Linked DNA regions of Lonchura striata. The protein of the gene in region 2 purifies or fractionates together with the protein of the main gene of each other region. This does not show direct contact. Links are inferred from orthologs where the notes say so. Each region holds a gene or a part of one and is shown on either strand. Other genes may lie near its edges.

Region 1 (7,295 bases), on a different chromosome or scaffold from region 2:
CCCCCCAGGTGCGCTCTGACCCCTCCAGGTGAGCTCCAGGTGCCCCTTGCCCCGCCCAGGTGCGCTCTGACCCCTCCAGGTGAGCCCCAGGTGCGCCCTGCCCCCCCCAGGTGCGCCCCAGGTGCCCCCTGCCCCTCCAGGTGCCCTCCCAGTCCCCCCAGGTGAGCCCCAGGAGCCCCCTGCCCGCCCAGGTGCGCTCACCTGGCAGTAGGGCTGGCTCAGCACCACCTGCAGCCGGTCCCACCTGGCCGTGGGCGTGGCCGGACGCTTGACCAGCGCCTCGGGCCCGAAGAGCCGCACCCGGCCCGGCCCCGCCCCCGCCCGGCTCTCGCTGGGCGACATCAGCGCCGCGCTGGGCAGCAGCACCTGCGGGCACAGGTAAGGCTCAGGTGTGCCCAGGTACCCCCAGGTGTGCCCAGGTATGGTTTAGGTGTGCCCAGGTACCCCCAGGTGTGCACCCACCTGTGCCCAGGTAAGGTTTAGGTGTGCCCAGGTACCCCCAGGTGTGCCCAGGTGTGTTTTTGGGTGCCCAGGTGTGTTTTTAGCTGTGCCCAGATGTGTGTTTTGGTGTCCCAGGTGTGCCCAGGTGCCCCAGGTGTGTTTTTGGGTGCCCGGGTGTGCCCAGGTGTGTTTTTAGTTGTGCCCAGGTGCCCCAGGTGTGTTTTTGGGTGCCCCAGCTGTGCCCAGGTGTGTTTTTAGCTGTGCCCAGCTGTGTTTTTGGGTGCCCAGATGAGCCCAGGTGCCCCAGGTGTGTGTTTGGGTGTCCCAGGTGTGCCCAGGTGCCCCAGGTGTATTTTTGGGCACCCCAGGTGTGCCCAGGTGTATTTTTGGGTGCCCCCGGTGTGCCCAGCTGTGTGTTTGGGTGTCCCAGGTGTGCCCAGATGTGTTTTTAGCTGTGCCCAGGTGTGTTTTTGGGTGCCCCAGCTGTGCCCAGGTGTGTTTTTAGCTGTGCCCAGGTGTGTGTTTGGGTGCCCAGGTGTGTTTTTAGCTGTGCCCAGGTGTGTGTTTGGGTGCCCAGGTGTGCCCAGGTGCCCCAGGTGTATTTTTGGGCACCCCAGGTGTGCCCAGGTGTGTTTTTGGGTGCCCAGGTGTATTTTTAGCTGTGCCCAGGTGTGTGTTTGGGTGCCCAGGTGTGCCCAGGTGTGTTTTTAGCTGTGCCCAGGTGTGTGTTTGGGTGCCCAGGTGTGTTTTTGGGTGCCCAGGTGTGTTTCTCGCTGCGCCCAGGTGTGTGTTTGGGTGCCCAGGTGTGCCCAGGTGTGTTTTTAGCTGTGCCCAGGTGTGTGTTTGGGTGCCCAGGTGTGCCCAGGTGTGTTTTTGGGTGCCCAGGTGTGCTCAGGTGTGTTTCTCGCTGTGCCCAGGAGTGTGTTTGGGTGCCCAGGTGTGCCCAGGTGCCCACGGGCTCACCTGGAAGTCGCCCCCGGCCGAGGAGCCCAGCAGCACCTCCACGAAGGCGGCGCCGTCGTTGCCGACGTGCAGGGAGTGAATGGGGCGGGTGTCACCCAGCTGGGGGAGCCACCAGTATAAACCAGTATAAACCAGTACAGACCAGGATAAACCAGTACAAACCAGTACAGAGCAGTATGAACCAGTACAGACCAGTACAAACCAGTATAAACCAGTACGGAGCAGTATGAACCAGTGCAGACCATTTCTGCCCCACTCAGGAGGAGCCTCCCAGTTCCCTCCCAGTCCCTCCCAGTTTATCCCAGTCCCTCCCAGTTCCCTCCCAGTCCCCGCCAGTCCCTCCCAGTTCCCTCCCAGTCCCTCCCAGTCCCTCCCAGTTCATCCCAGTCCCTCCCAGTTTGTCCCAGATTATCCCAGTTCAGCCCCACTGCCCTCCCAGTTGGTCCCAGTTTGTCCCAGTCCCCTCCCACTACATCCCAGTAACCCCCAGTCCCCTCCCAGTGCCCCCAAACCCCCTCTCAGTCACCCCCAGTCCCTTCCCAGTCCATCCCAGTTTATCCCAGTCCATCTTAATCCCCTCCCAGTTTATCCCAGTTCCCCTCGATGCCCTCCCAGTCCATCCCAGTCTCTCCCAGTCCATTCCAATCCTCTCCAAGTGTATCCCAGTTACTCCCAGTCTATCCCAGTCCCTCCCAATCCCCCCAAACCCTCTTCCAATTTATCCCAGTCCCCCCCAATCCCCTCCCAGTTTATCCCAGTCCCTCTCAATCCCCTCCCAGTCCACCCCAGTTCATCCCAGTCCCTCCCAATCCCTTCCCAGTCTATCCCAGTCCTTCCTAATCCCTTCCCAGTTCATCCCAATCCCCTCCCAGTTTGTCCCAGTCCATCCCAGTCCCCCTCAATCCCCTCCCAGTCCCCGCCAGTCCCTCCCAGTTTATCCCAGTCCCCTCCCAGTTTATCCCACTCCTCTCCCAGTCCCTTCCCAGTTACTCCCAGTCCCCGCCAGTCCCTCCCAGTTTATCCCAGTCCCTCCCAGTTCATAGTTCATCCCAGTCCCAGTTCATCCCAGTTTCCTCCCAGTTTATCCCACTCCTCTCCCAGTCCCTCCCAGTTCATCCCAGTCCTCTCCCAGTCCCTCCCAGTTCATCCCAGTCCCCTCCCAGTTTATCCCACTCCTCTCCCAGTCCCTCCCAGTTAACCCAGTCCCCTCCCACTTTATCCCACTCCCCTCCCAGTCCCTCCCAGTCCCTCCCAGTTACCCCCAGCCCCACCTCCAGCACCACGCTCAGCTGTTTCTCGCCCGCCGCCGCTCCCCTCCACTTCCCGCCATCCTCGGGCCGCAGCAGATTCTCCGCCGGGTGCCGCTGCGGACGCACCGAACCCTCAGAACCGAGCCCCGGTACCGCCGAGCCCAGCCCGGCTCCTCCCGAACCTCCCCGGGACCCACCGGGTCCGCGCTGGTCACCGACACCACCCGGGCGAACGGGATCTCCGCCATGAGGGCCGCGCCGGAAGTCCCCTCAGAGCGGCACCGGAAGCCGCCTCAGCGCCGCACCGGAAGTCGCCTCAGCGCCGCACCGGAAGTCGCCTCAGCGCGCCCTCCCGGGCCGCTCTGCTCCGCGCGACTCTGGGGCTCCATAGCGCGCGCCCATTGGCTGCGCGCATGCGCGGGGCGCGCTCTACCCGCGCGTCCTCCCAGCGGAGTTTTTCCCGCCTTTTTCCAAGCGCGGGAAGCCGTGAGGGGAAAGGAAATAATTAAACCTCCGCCAGGGTAATTAAGCTTCATTAATCCTTAGGGAAAGGCAATTAATCACGACTTGGCGCTAATTAAGACAAAGAAAAGGCGCTTTGGGCTGTTTATTAGCGCGGGGGGAGCCGCCTCAGAGCCGTGAGGGGAAAGGAGATAAGGAAACCTCGGCGAGGGTAATTAGGCGTCATTAATTAACGAGGGGGGTCGTTAATGAAGAGCAGCACGAGGCTCCCAGTGCTCCCAGTTTATCCCAGTAAGCGGCCGTACTCAGCCAGGGCTGAGGATTTCTTCACCCCGTCCCAAATGCGGGCGGCGTAGTGGAACCTGCACCAGTATGGACCAGTATAAACCAGTATATACCAGTATAAACCAGTACGGACCAGTATAAACCAGTACGGACTGGTACAGGTAATGAGCACCCTCCCAGTTCCCCCCAGTTCGCTCCCAGTCCCCTCCCAGTTTATTCCAATCCCCTCCCAGTATAAACCAGTAACCCCGAATCCCCTCCCAGTATAAACCAGTCCCCCCAAATCCCCTCCCAGTATAAACCAGTAACCCCAAATCCCCTCCCAGTATAAACCAGTAACCCCGAATCCCCCTTTAACCCTTTCCCAATCCCCTCCCAGTTCCCCCCAGTCCCCTCCCAGTATAAACCAGTCCCTCCCAATCCCTTCCCAGTTGCTCACAGTCCCCTCCCAGTCCCTCCCAGTATAAACCAGTAACCCGAAATCTCCATTTAACCCTCTCCCAGTTCCTCCCAGTCACCCCCAAACTCCTCCCAGTCCCTCCCAGTATAAACCAGTAACCCCAAAACCCCATTTAACCCTTTCCCAGTCCCTCCCAGTATAAACCAGTACCCCCAAACCCCCTTTAACCCTTTCCCAACCCCTCCCAGTCCCCTCCCAGTATAAACCAGTTACCCCAAATCCCCTTTTAACCCTTTCCCAACCCCTCCCAGTATAAACCAGTGCCCCAAACCCCCTTTAACCCTTTCCCAGCCCCTCCCAGTCCCCCCCGAAGCCCTCCCAGTATAAACCAGTCTCACCAGTTGCGCTCGGTCAGCAGGCTGTGGGATAACTGGGAGCGCGCGGCCGCCAGGACCCTCCCCCGCAGCCGGGCCAGGAGCCCCCCCAGCCCCCCCCGGCCGCGGAACGGGGGCAGGGCCGGGAACAGCGCCCCTCCCCCACCTGCGGGGTTCGTACTGGTTTGTACTGGGATAAACTGGGAGGGACGGGTTTATACTGGGTTTGGACTGGGAGGGGGTTTGGGGAGCACGGGGAGGGACTGGGACGTACTGGGATGGACTGGAATGGACTGGGAGGGGGTTTGAGGGGGCTGGGGTGGGTTTGGAGGGGATTGGGGTAGACTGGGATGGACTGGGATATACTGGTTTATACTGGTTTGGACTGGTTTGGACTGGTTTATACTGGTTTGAACTGGTTTATACTGGTTTGGACTGGGACGGGGTTTGGGGAGCACCGGGATGGACTGGGCCATACTGGGATGGACTGGGAGTGGGTTTGGGGGGGGTCTGGGGTGGGTTCAGAGGGGACTGGGATATACTGGGCCATACTGGGATGTACTGGGATGGACTGGGAGGAGGTTTGGGGGGTCTGGGGTGGGTTCAGAGGGGACTGGGGTGTACTGGGATGTACTGGGCCATACTGGGATGTACTGGGATGTACTGGGATGGACTAGGAGGGGGTTTGGGGGGGATTAGGCTGTACTGGGATATAGTGGGCCATACTGGGATGGACTGGGATGTACTGGGAGTGGGTTTGGGGGGTCTGGGATGGGTTCAGAGGGGACTGGGCCATACTGGGATGTACTGGGCCATACTGGGATGGACTGGGATGGACTGGGAGGAGGTTTGGGGGGTCTGGGATGGGTTTAGACCGGACTGGGCTGTACTGGGATGGACTGGGAGGAGGTTTGAGGGGTCTGGGGTGGGTTCAGAGGGGACTGGGCTGTACTGGGTTGTACTGGGGTGTACTGGGCCATACTGGGATGGACTGGGATGGACTGGGAGGAGGTTTGGGGGATCTGGGGTGGGTTCAGAGGGGACTGGGCCATACTGGGATGTACTGGGATGGACTGGGATGGACTGGGAGGGGGTTTGGGGGGAATTAGGCTGTACTGGGATATACTGGGCCATACTGGGATGGACTGGGAGGAGGTTTGGGGGGGTCTGGAGTGGGTTCAGAGGGGACTGGGATGTACTGGGCTGTACTGGGAGGGGGTTTGGGGGGGATTAGGGTGTACTGGGATATACTGGGCCATACTGGGATGGACTGGGATGTACTGGGATGTACTGGGCTGTACTGGGATGGACTGGGAGGAGGTTTGGGGGGTCTGGGGTGGGTTCGGAGGGGACTGGGCCATACTGGGCTGTACTGGGCCATACTGGGATGTACTGGGCCATACTGGGATGTACTGGGCTGTACTGGGATGTACTGGGAGGAGGTTTGGGGGGTCTGGGATGGGTTCAGAGGGAACTGGGGTGTACTGCGTTGTACTGGGCCATACTGGGATGTACTGGGAAGGGGCCCAGGGTGCCCAGGGGCTGTCTCTGGGGACCCGCACTGGTCCGTACTGGTCCGTACTGGTCCGTACTGGTCCGCACTGGTCTCACCTCGGGGCAGGGCGTCCTCGGGCTCCTCCTCCAGGGGCGGCAGCAGGAACAGATTCACCTCGGGCTCGGGGGGGGGCCCGGGGGGGAGGGGAGGAGCTCCCGCATGGACAGCGAGCCTGGGGGGCCAAAATCACCCCAAAATTATCCCGAAATTATCCCGAAATTATCCTGAAATCATCCTGAAATTATCCCGAAATCATCCTGAAATTATCCCGAAATTATCCTGAAATCATCCTGAAATTATCCCGAAATTATCCCGAAATTATCCCGAAATTATCCCAAAATCATCCTGAAATTATCCCAAAATCACCCCAAAATTATCCCAAAATTATCCTGAAATTATCCCGAAATTATCCTGAAATTATCCTGAAATTATCCCAAAATCATCCTGAAATTACCCCGAAATCATCCTGAAATTATCCTGAAATTATCCTGAAATTATCCCGAAATTATCCCAAAATCATCCTGAAATTATCCTGAAATTATCCCAAAATCATCCTGAAATTATCCTGAAATTATCCCAAAATCATCCTGAAATTATCCTGAAATTATCCCGAAATTATCCCAAAATCATCCTGAATTTATCCTGAAATTATCCCGAAATTATCCCAAAATCACCCCAAAATTACCCCAAAATCATCCTGAAATTATCCCGAAATTATCCTGAAATTATCCCAAAATCATCCTGAAATTATCCCAAAATTATCCCGAAATCATCCTGAAATTACCCCGAAATCATCCCGAAATTATCCCAAAATCACCCCAAATCACCTCAAAAATCGCCCCCAAAATCACCCTAAAAATCGCCCAAAATCACCCCCAAAATCATCCTGAAATAATCCCAAAATCATCCTGAAATTATCCCAAAATCATTCCGAAATTATCCCAAAATCACCCCCAAAATTACCCCAAAATCACCACCAAAATCAGCAAAAATCTCCCCAAAATCCCCCCAAATCCACCCCAATCCCCCAAAATCCCCCCAAAATCCCCCCAAATCCCCCCAAATTTCCCCAAATCCCCCCAAAATCCCCCCAAAATCCCGCAAATCCCCCCCAAAATCCCCCCAAAATCCCCCAAAATCCCCGAAAATCCCCAAATTTCCCCAAATCCCCCAAAATCCCCCCAAATCCCCCAAAATCCCCCCCAAATCCCCCCAAATTTCCCCAAATTTCCCCAAAATCCCCCAAAATCCCCCAAATCCCCCCCAAATTTTCCAAAATCCCCCCAAATCCCCCCCAAATCCCCCCAAATCCCCCCAAATCCCCCCAAATCCCCTCAAATCCCCCCAAAATCCCCGAAAACCCCCAAATCCCCCCAAAATCCCCCAAATTTCCCCAAATCCCCCAAAATCCCCCAAATCCCCCCCGAAATCCCCCAAATTTCCCCCAAATCCCCCCAAATCCCCCAAATCCCCCCAAATTTCCCCAAATTTCCCCCAAATCCCCCCAAATCCCCCCCAAAATCCCCCCAAATCCCCCAAATTTCCCCAAAATCCCCCCAAAATCC
Region 2 (7,342 bases):
AATGATAGCAAAACTTCTAGGCAATAACAAAGATATTATTCCTAAATTGCAAGGTGTTCTTTCTTTCAAAAATCCTCATTTATATGAGCATAAATACATGCTTCTCAGTTTCACTTTCCTCAAAAACTGGAGAAAGTAGTCTTATAATTCCCTGAATTCTACAGCAGATCATAGGACAGTGTTTATATTCAGTAAATTGTTCAACAGTTGAAAATATTTAGAATTCCCTCTGTATTTTAACAAGGTTCCCTGTTAATAGCAGCTATGTAGCACAAGCATGGATTATCAAGTTTAAGATTAATGAAGTGAAGCAAGCAAGTGAAATCAGTTTGGCAAACAGGAAACTCACCTGGGCAGAAGATACGAGAGTTCCAAAAAGAGGAGACAAAATATCTATTAAAAATATTAAAGCACAAATAAATAAAAAAGACGTCAAGTAAATGTTTTGCATCTTGAACAGCTTGATACCACAGCAAAAAGGCCAGATTGTTCATAGACCTGGTGTAACAGAGGCATTCACAAGTTTACTGTTCTAAGTATTCAAGTCACTGACTCCCCTGTGAATCATTTAGGATCATATCCTTACAAAAATTAATAATCCTCTCAAAGTATTAAACAAGTTTTAAAAGCTGATAGGGAAAAAGTTCAACAACATCTTGAGAAAGGGCCATTAAATTACTCTCTCCACTATTGAGTGGACTTGAAGAACTGTGGCAGGGTGGCAGCAATAAGGGCATGCTTATTTAAGTATTAAAAGCAATAAGTCAATGCTTATTTTATCTGCTGCAGACTGACTGTGGGATATGTGTATTCATAGTTCAATCACAGTAGCACAGGAAACTAATCCAACTGGGGATTTATAACCACAACTGAAGCTGGTTTAGCTGGTTAAACAAAGAATATTGCCTGTCCACCAGCTCAACTAATCACCTAGCAGGACTCCCAGGACAGGACAGTCCAAAAGCCACAAATTCACAAAGCATATAAAAACATCCTGGACTAAAGCTCTAAAGTCCCTCACGCCTGCTTGTGCTAGTAGGCATGAGGTTGAGGAAAAGTTACAACCTAATTGTATATATAGGTCTTAAGTAATTTCTTCTCCCTCAAAGAACTACTATTTTTTTCTGCTTTATTTTATTGTATTTCTGTACACAATTCTCTTACTGATACTTGTTTCTGATTCTGTCTTGTGATGTATAAAATTTTATTTCTAACTACAGGGATGTTTAAAGGTGCACAAAGCTCTTCCCCCAACATCAAATGACAACAGAGCATTCCTAAAGCATCAGTATTGCACACCAAAGGCTCCACTCCATCTTGACTGATGGACAGCTCTCTCACAGCTGAATTTAAACAGATACATGAACCCCAGACACAGAACTTCAGAAGTACTTCACCTATTAATAGTGAATTATTAGGTCCAAACCAATCAACAGCACAGAGGCAGGTGCAAACAACTACTCAGAGTTATGCACCCAAGAAAAGCATCCCTTTAAATGCCACAAGTGGTTTTCCCCAGACTAGCTCATAAAGAAAGCAGCAGTAAGAAGCAGCATGATTTGTCTTGGCTAAATACACTTTATATTTCTGCCGCCTAATTCAAGTTACAACAAAGTATCAGCAAATAATGTTTTATACCTCTGAAAGAGAAAGGCCCAAATAAAAGAAACAATTTCTATGAACCAGCCCATTTAGAATATGAAATATCAGCAACACTAAGAAATACATGCATTTAAAAATACCCACAAACCAAAAATAAGCATTCTCTTGCTTTCTCCCAAAAGCCCTCTTCTAGTAGAAGACACTTGCTCACCTTTTATGTGCAGGGCTCCAGAATTATAGCTCTGTTCAATTCCACTGACTTTAGTGAGAAAAAACCTGAAAGGATTGCCTCCAGTCACCAAATCCCAGGTATCCTGGGCTTCACTGGGTGTTACATTATACTCCTCTTCTTTCAGATTCTCCGAGAGTTTGTCATCTTTGCAAAGATTCAGAGGATGCTCTTCAGGCATATCACATTTTTCTTCTTTCACTGTTTCTTTGTGAACATGCTTTTGCTGATCTTCAGGCTCTTCATCGCTACTAGAAAGACACCAACCTGAGCCTTCTTGGCTTGGTCTCTGTTTTACTGCTGGAGGTGCATCTGTAGAAAGACTTTTATCAGTGAACTTCAGGGGAGAAGTTTTTCTCTTGAGAGCAGCTTTCCTAGCTTCAGAGCATGGATATTGTGGTCCACTTGTTTTACCACATGTAGCATCTGATAGTGAAGATGTACATGGTTTTTCACTGTCAGAATTTTCATCAGCACTTTCATCGCTGCTAGATACTGTCCATTTACCGTGTGCACCTTCCTGAAGCATGTTCCTAGGAATGAAAAAACACCAAACAAAAATTGTACGTTTTTGCTACGCTCAAGTCTGTCTCCCTTCCTACCTCCTACTTGTTTATTACTTAAGAACCGTGCTTTGGTATTTGGCAGGTTCTCTGGGAAACTTCATACCGTACACGACTTGTTTCTGTGCCCGGGAAACAAAGAAACACGTGCAATGGTGGCAACCATCAAATGGGAAGCAGCAAATGTGAAAACCAACACATGGAAAGCGGGATAAGACACAGACTCCTATGAGAAAGCACTCCAAAAATCAGAGGTGCGAGCTGCACGACACAGGTATTTCCCCGCGGCTGAGGCGTCTGCTGAGCGGATTCAGGAGCACGGGGCGGCCCCGCGGGAACCCTCCGGGACCGCGGCCTTCCTCCGCCGGCCCCGCGCCCGCAGCGCGCCCCTCCGCCGCGCCTCCCGCCGAGCCCCGGCGGCGGAGCCCGGCCGCGGCCGCCCCGCAGCGAAGGCAGCGCCCGCGGCGGCGCCGCGGCAAAGAGCCCCGACAGCCGCTGCGGGGCTGCAGCCCGCCGGCCGCCGCCAGCACTCACTCACTCACTCACTCACTCACCCCGCTCACCGACCGCCGGCGCCCGGCAGCGCCCGCGCAGGGCAGCGAGAGCCAGAGCAGGCCCGGGCCCCGCCCGCCCGCGCCGGCCCCGCCCCGAGCCGCCGGAGCGCGGCCGCCGCGAGGCGCTCCGGGGCCGCCGCGAGGCGCTCCGGGGCCGCCGCGAGGCGCTCCGGGGCCGCCGCGAGGCGCTCCGGGGCCGCCGCGAGGCGCTCCGGGGCCGCCGCGGCAGGGCGGCCGAGGCTTGGCGAGCTGAATTATTCTAACCAGCCGTCATGGACCTTAATATTAATTATGGGCAGGTGCGGAATTTGCATAATGGCTCGTTCGGCGCGGTGTTAATTACTGTATCTGAAGTGCCCCGCTAATGAGATAAGTGCGTGAGGAGTTCGGGAAGGAGAGGGAGGAAAGCAGGTGTGATATTAATCAAAGGAGGAGCGCGGCCCGCATCAAAGCGCGCTGCGGTGAACTGAGCGCTCGGCTCTCCTTACTCTAATTTGTTGCAAGCTTGTGGCTGCAGTTAACAAATTCTGGAAGTGCCAACACGCAATGAAAACGGCAGGTTACTCCAGGAAAAGCTTTCCTGACAATTCCGCTGGTTTGTGTAATTTTCTCAGTGCTTGTCCGCAGAGTCGTACGTAACTTTTCCCTGAAATGTTCTGTGGGTAAACCCTTTGCTGCTGTACGATATGATGCTGTATTGTTAACCCTTCCTGAAGGTGTTCTGTGGGAAAAGCTCTTAGGAACGTTGGATGGCTTTGTATGTTCTCTGTGTAGTCTCTTCTCTTTGGAAATGTTTTTTTGTTTTCTGCAAGTACCTCAGAAAGTTTGATGGCTTCTGACTATGCTTTCATTGCACTCTCTCCTTATAGTTCCTGTCTGTGTGGTGACTTAACTGAGAATTAAAGTTATCTGGCATTTTTCAGGAAAAAAAAAGTATAGTCTGCTAGAAGGAAATTTCATGTGATTTGTTTCCTATAAGTCTGTACTATGTAGTCTAAGTTTGCAAAAAGCTTTTTCATCATAAGCACATAAAATGTAATAGTATGAAAAATTTTATTTTAACCTAAAATCCCAAACTGAATGTGCTCCCACTTTCAATTTTACTGGAACAGAGTAGATGAATAGAAGTGATTCAACAAGTGCCTCTTTTTTTCCCCCATAACAGTTTTGCAAAATAAAAAATCCTAGGTTAGGTTTATTGGTTTTTTTATGTGAATCACTTTCTTTCTGCAGGATTTTGAAGTGTGCAATGAAGATAGCAAAGGCTATTTAAGCAGAGAAGACTCTACAGTTGGTCTGGTAATGGTTTTTTTTTTTTTTCTAGAAACCCTCAAAGGTATATACTTTTCCATTTATGTTCTGAAGATCCAGCTTATAGATGTCTCACTGTTGAAAATACTATATATTGACTGGCCTACACTAACTGGAGTGGATTGCTGTAGATGTGGTAAACAGAAATGCCTACAAACCCTAAAATTAATTTTCTAATTTGCACATATTTATTCCAAAAGAAAATAATCAAAACCCTGGCTTTTCTGTTGAAGACTGTGATCAGTAGAAAGTTGTATTGTATTTCATATGTGTACAAGATACATAAGTGACTTACTGAGCTTGTTACTGGTTTTTATCAGTGGTACATTCAATTTTATTCAGTGGTCTCAGTAACTGTGAAACTGCTACATGTCCCAATAATAAACACGTATTCTCAAAAATATATCTGGTTTTGATTTCAGGTAATAGTTAATAGTTGGACATTTTTAGGCATGACTTCTCAAATGTAAATCTACAGCTCTATAGAAATCTTAAGAAAAGAAAGATTAATTGAGAGAAATAATGTGTTTCCATACTTACAGGAAAATACAGGATATATTGTATGGCTTGATGTAGTTTTAGAAGTAATATTTTTACTCAAGTAAGTACAAGTGAATTAAAAAGAGTATAAAGAATACAAAAGATTTCAGAATACACATAGTGTATCTGTGAGTCTGTCTTTCTCATGGCATGTCAATAAATGAGACCAATTACTATAATGTGTATTATATATATAAAGTATGGAAAGGCTGAATCATCTTTCTTCTCCAGCTTGAGCAATCTTCTTCCCCAATGACTGATTGCAAATAATTACTTTTATTATTTTTACATTAAGCACATAGTTTACAAAAACTGTCTTGATAAGGTCATAAGCAAAATTGTATCTATGATAATTTAGTAAAACCCACAAAAATATTTTAGTAAACTATGAAAGTAGTAATTTCTCATATATTTCAGCTGTGGGTAAACATTTTTTCAATGAACTGTGGCCAGATCTAAAAATGCTTAAGGCTTCTGATGTGAGTCCTAACTATTGAATTATGAATCTCAAACTGCTCAACTTCTTCCCTATCTATCTTCTCCTAGATATTTTTACTATATAAAAATTAAGTGTTCTGTCAAATTCCCTGAGTGTTTCTTACAGCAGGAGTACTCAAAACATGCTTAAGGCATTTAAACAAGAGCAGGCACTGTGCATGAGTCACTGATGGCATCTCCTTGGAAAGAGAATACAAATAGAGGACTCCTGGGAAGACATGAGATGCAGGTTTAGTTATTTCTTCCTGAAAAGGTGCCAAATCACACCTGCTGTGGCTTTAGGCACTACTGTGACCATTTGGTCTGTGCAGCTGCACAAAAATTAATTAAGAAACCTTTGTTCTAGGGCTGATTCTGTCATCTAGTGGTTTTGCTAGCTCCTTAAGTGGGCCCAATTCCAGCAACTGTTGCCCTTTACCCAATTACTGCTCATTGTGAAGATCTCTAAAAGGTCCCTGGGGAAGCAGATACTTTTCTTTTTGTGGCTTCTGCTAGTGTGCATTAGGCAAGGTTTGTAGCACAACCACATGTTTTGCTTTTGCTGATGACTGGGTCCTGAGTGTGTTCCTTTCAACGTGCGTATGGTTTTTAATCTGGTTCTGAGAGACACAACTTTCACTGTGTACCAGAGAGGAACCAAATGCAGATGTTGCAATCCTAAAAGTTAATTGTTAAGATCCAGTTCTTGAGCATGTTATTGTGCGTATTGCTTTGTTGTCAAAATTAACAAAATCATAGGCTAAAGGAACAGCCCTTCTATTATTTTGGAAATGGTTAAGAACATCCCTGGCAAGGAGAGTCCTTCCAATTGTTTTTGCAGGACATGGGGAATAGTGTGCATACATTATTTCTTAAGGTGAAACTGTTTTTCAGCTGCACTACATACTAACATTTTTTTTTTCAGTAGAAATGGCAATTGCTTAGCATCATCAACTGCAATCAAGCAATCGAATTTTTAGTAAATTGTTGCTGCTTTTTTTTTTTTTTTTTTTTTTTTTTTTTTTTTTTTTTTTGGTCGCGTTTGCCTTTATTCTGTAAGTTAAAAGTAATACTAACTTTACCCGCTAGATGTCATGAATGAACTCTTCCTTGGAAAAGGTGAGCTCTAAGAATTTAAATCACATTCCTGCTCCGCTTGATTTTTCTAAATAATTTGTTATAACAATGCTATATTGTGAGTAAAATACTATTTTAGTGTGGTTATTAATAGAAATTTGAACTTTATATAATTTTAGTGTTTATAATTAAACCTTCTGAGGCAAATAACTGGGAAAAAATGTAAACAGAGATTAAACTCATTGTTGAATGGATATTGTATGTATGTCTGCATATAAATACTGTCATTTCTGGGAAATAGCAACATTGTAGGAATCATGTCTATGTGACTTTTTTTTCATTCTCTGTCAGTTTGGTTCAATGATCCTCTTTTCCCCAAAACTATTTAAAGTCATCTAAAATGCTCTTATATTTCAGCAACCATTCAGCTAACTAGCTGCTAGCATTTCATCTTCCAAATGAAAAGGAGACTTCAGGAATTGTAGTCATTAAAATACATCATTTCCCAAGCTGAAGTTCCCTTCCTGGTAGTGTTACATTTAGATCTAACTAAAAGCACTCTCTACAGTGTTCCTGAGAGTCCAGGCCCCCAGTGTCCAGTGTTTTCCTTGACCCGAAGCTGTACCTTTGCAGGAGGACACCAGCAGGTCAACAGCTGCTGCTGAACAAGATGCCAGCAGCAGGACACTCTGAGATCCAGAGTAGAGAAGGGCAGTCTGAGCTTGAGGCTGCTTTCAGCTGCTCTCCTGGCATATATTATCAAAGCTTTCTAGACAGAACTCCCTAGTCTGTTTATATATCTGACATGGTCCTGGGGGAAGTGTTTCGGGCATGGTGGAACATACAGCTTTAGCTTAAGTGGTCTCATCATGTTTGGCTTGTCCTTTCTCCAGAGTGGAATAAGCCTAGATTGCTCTGGAATCTGCTCACATCCCCTCAGGTGGCTGTCTCAGTGCTGCAGCTGTGGGCAGTCTTGTACTCTCATAACA

Evidence for each region. The genes of interacting proteins can lie anywhere in the genome.
Region 1: the proteins of TDP1 (region 2) and DNA repair protein XRCC1 purify together in Homo sapiens (affinity purification with mass spectrometry; 4 studies listed by BioGRID and IntAct, with this or other methods). This does not show direct contact. The link is inferred for Lonchura striata from reciprocal best matches to the Homo sapiens genes TDP1 and XRCC1.

What each region holds. Positions count from the first base shown.
Region 1 is NC_134639.1:76,669-83,963, reverse strand, and holds the start of DNA repair protein XRCC1, read right to left. Parts: upstream 3,044-7,295; coding exon 2,983-3,043; intron 2,924-2,982; coding exon 2,676-2,923; intron 1,504-2,675; coding exon 1,405-1,503; intron 367-1,404; coding exon 202-366; intron 1-201. UniProt on the Homo sapiens protein: Scaffold protein involved in DNA single-strand break repair by mediating the assembly of DNA break repair protein complexes. Negatively regulates ADP-ribosyltransferase activity of PARP1 during base-excision repair in order to prevent excessive PARP1 activity.
Region 2 is NC_134608.1:17,272,591-17,279,932, forward strand, and holds the start of TDP1 (tyrosyl-DNA phosphodiesterase 1), read right to left. Parts: upstream 3,031-7,342; 5' UTR 2,949-3,030; intron 2,365-2,948; 5' UTR 2,361-2,364; coding exon 1,814-2,360; intron 394-1,813; coding exon 350-393; intron 1-349. Other genes in the region: EFCAB11 (EF-hand calcium-binding domain-containing protein 11), read left to right, coding at 3,221-3,247, 4,176-4,284. UniProt on the Homo sapiens protein: DNA repair enzyme that can remove a variety of covalent adducts from DNA through hydrolysis of a 3'-phosphodiester bond, giving rise to DNA with a free 3' phosphate.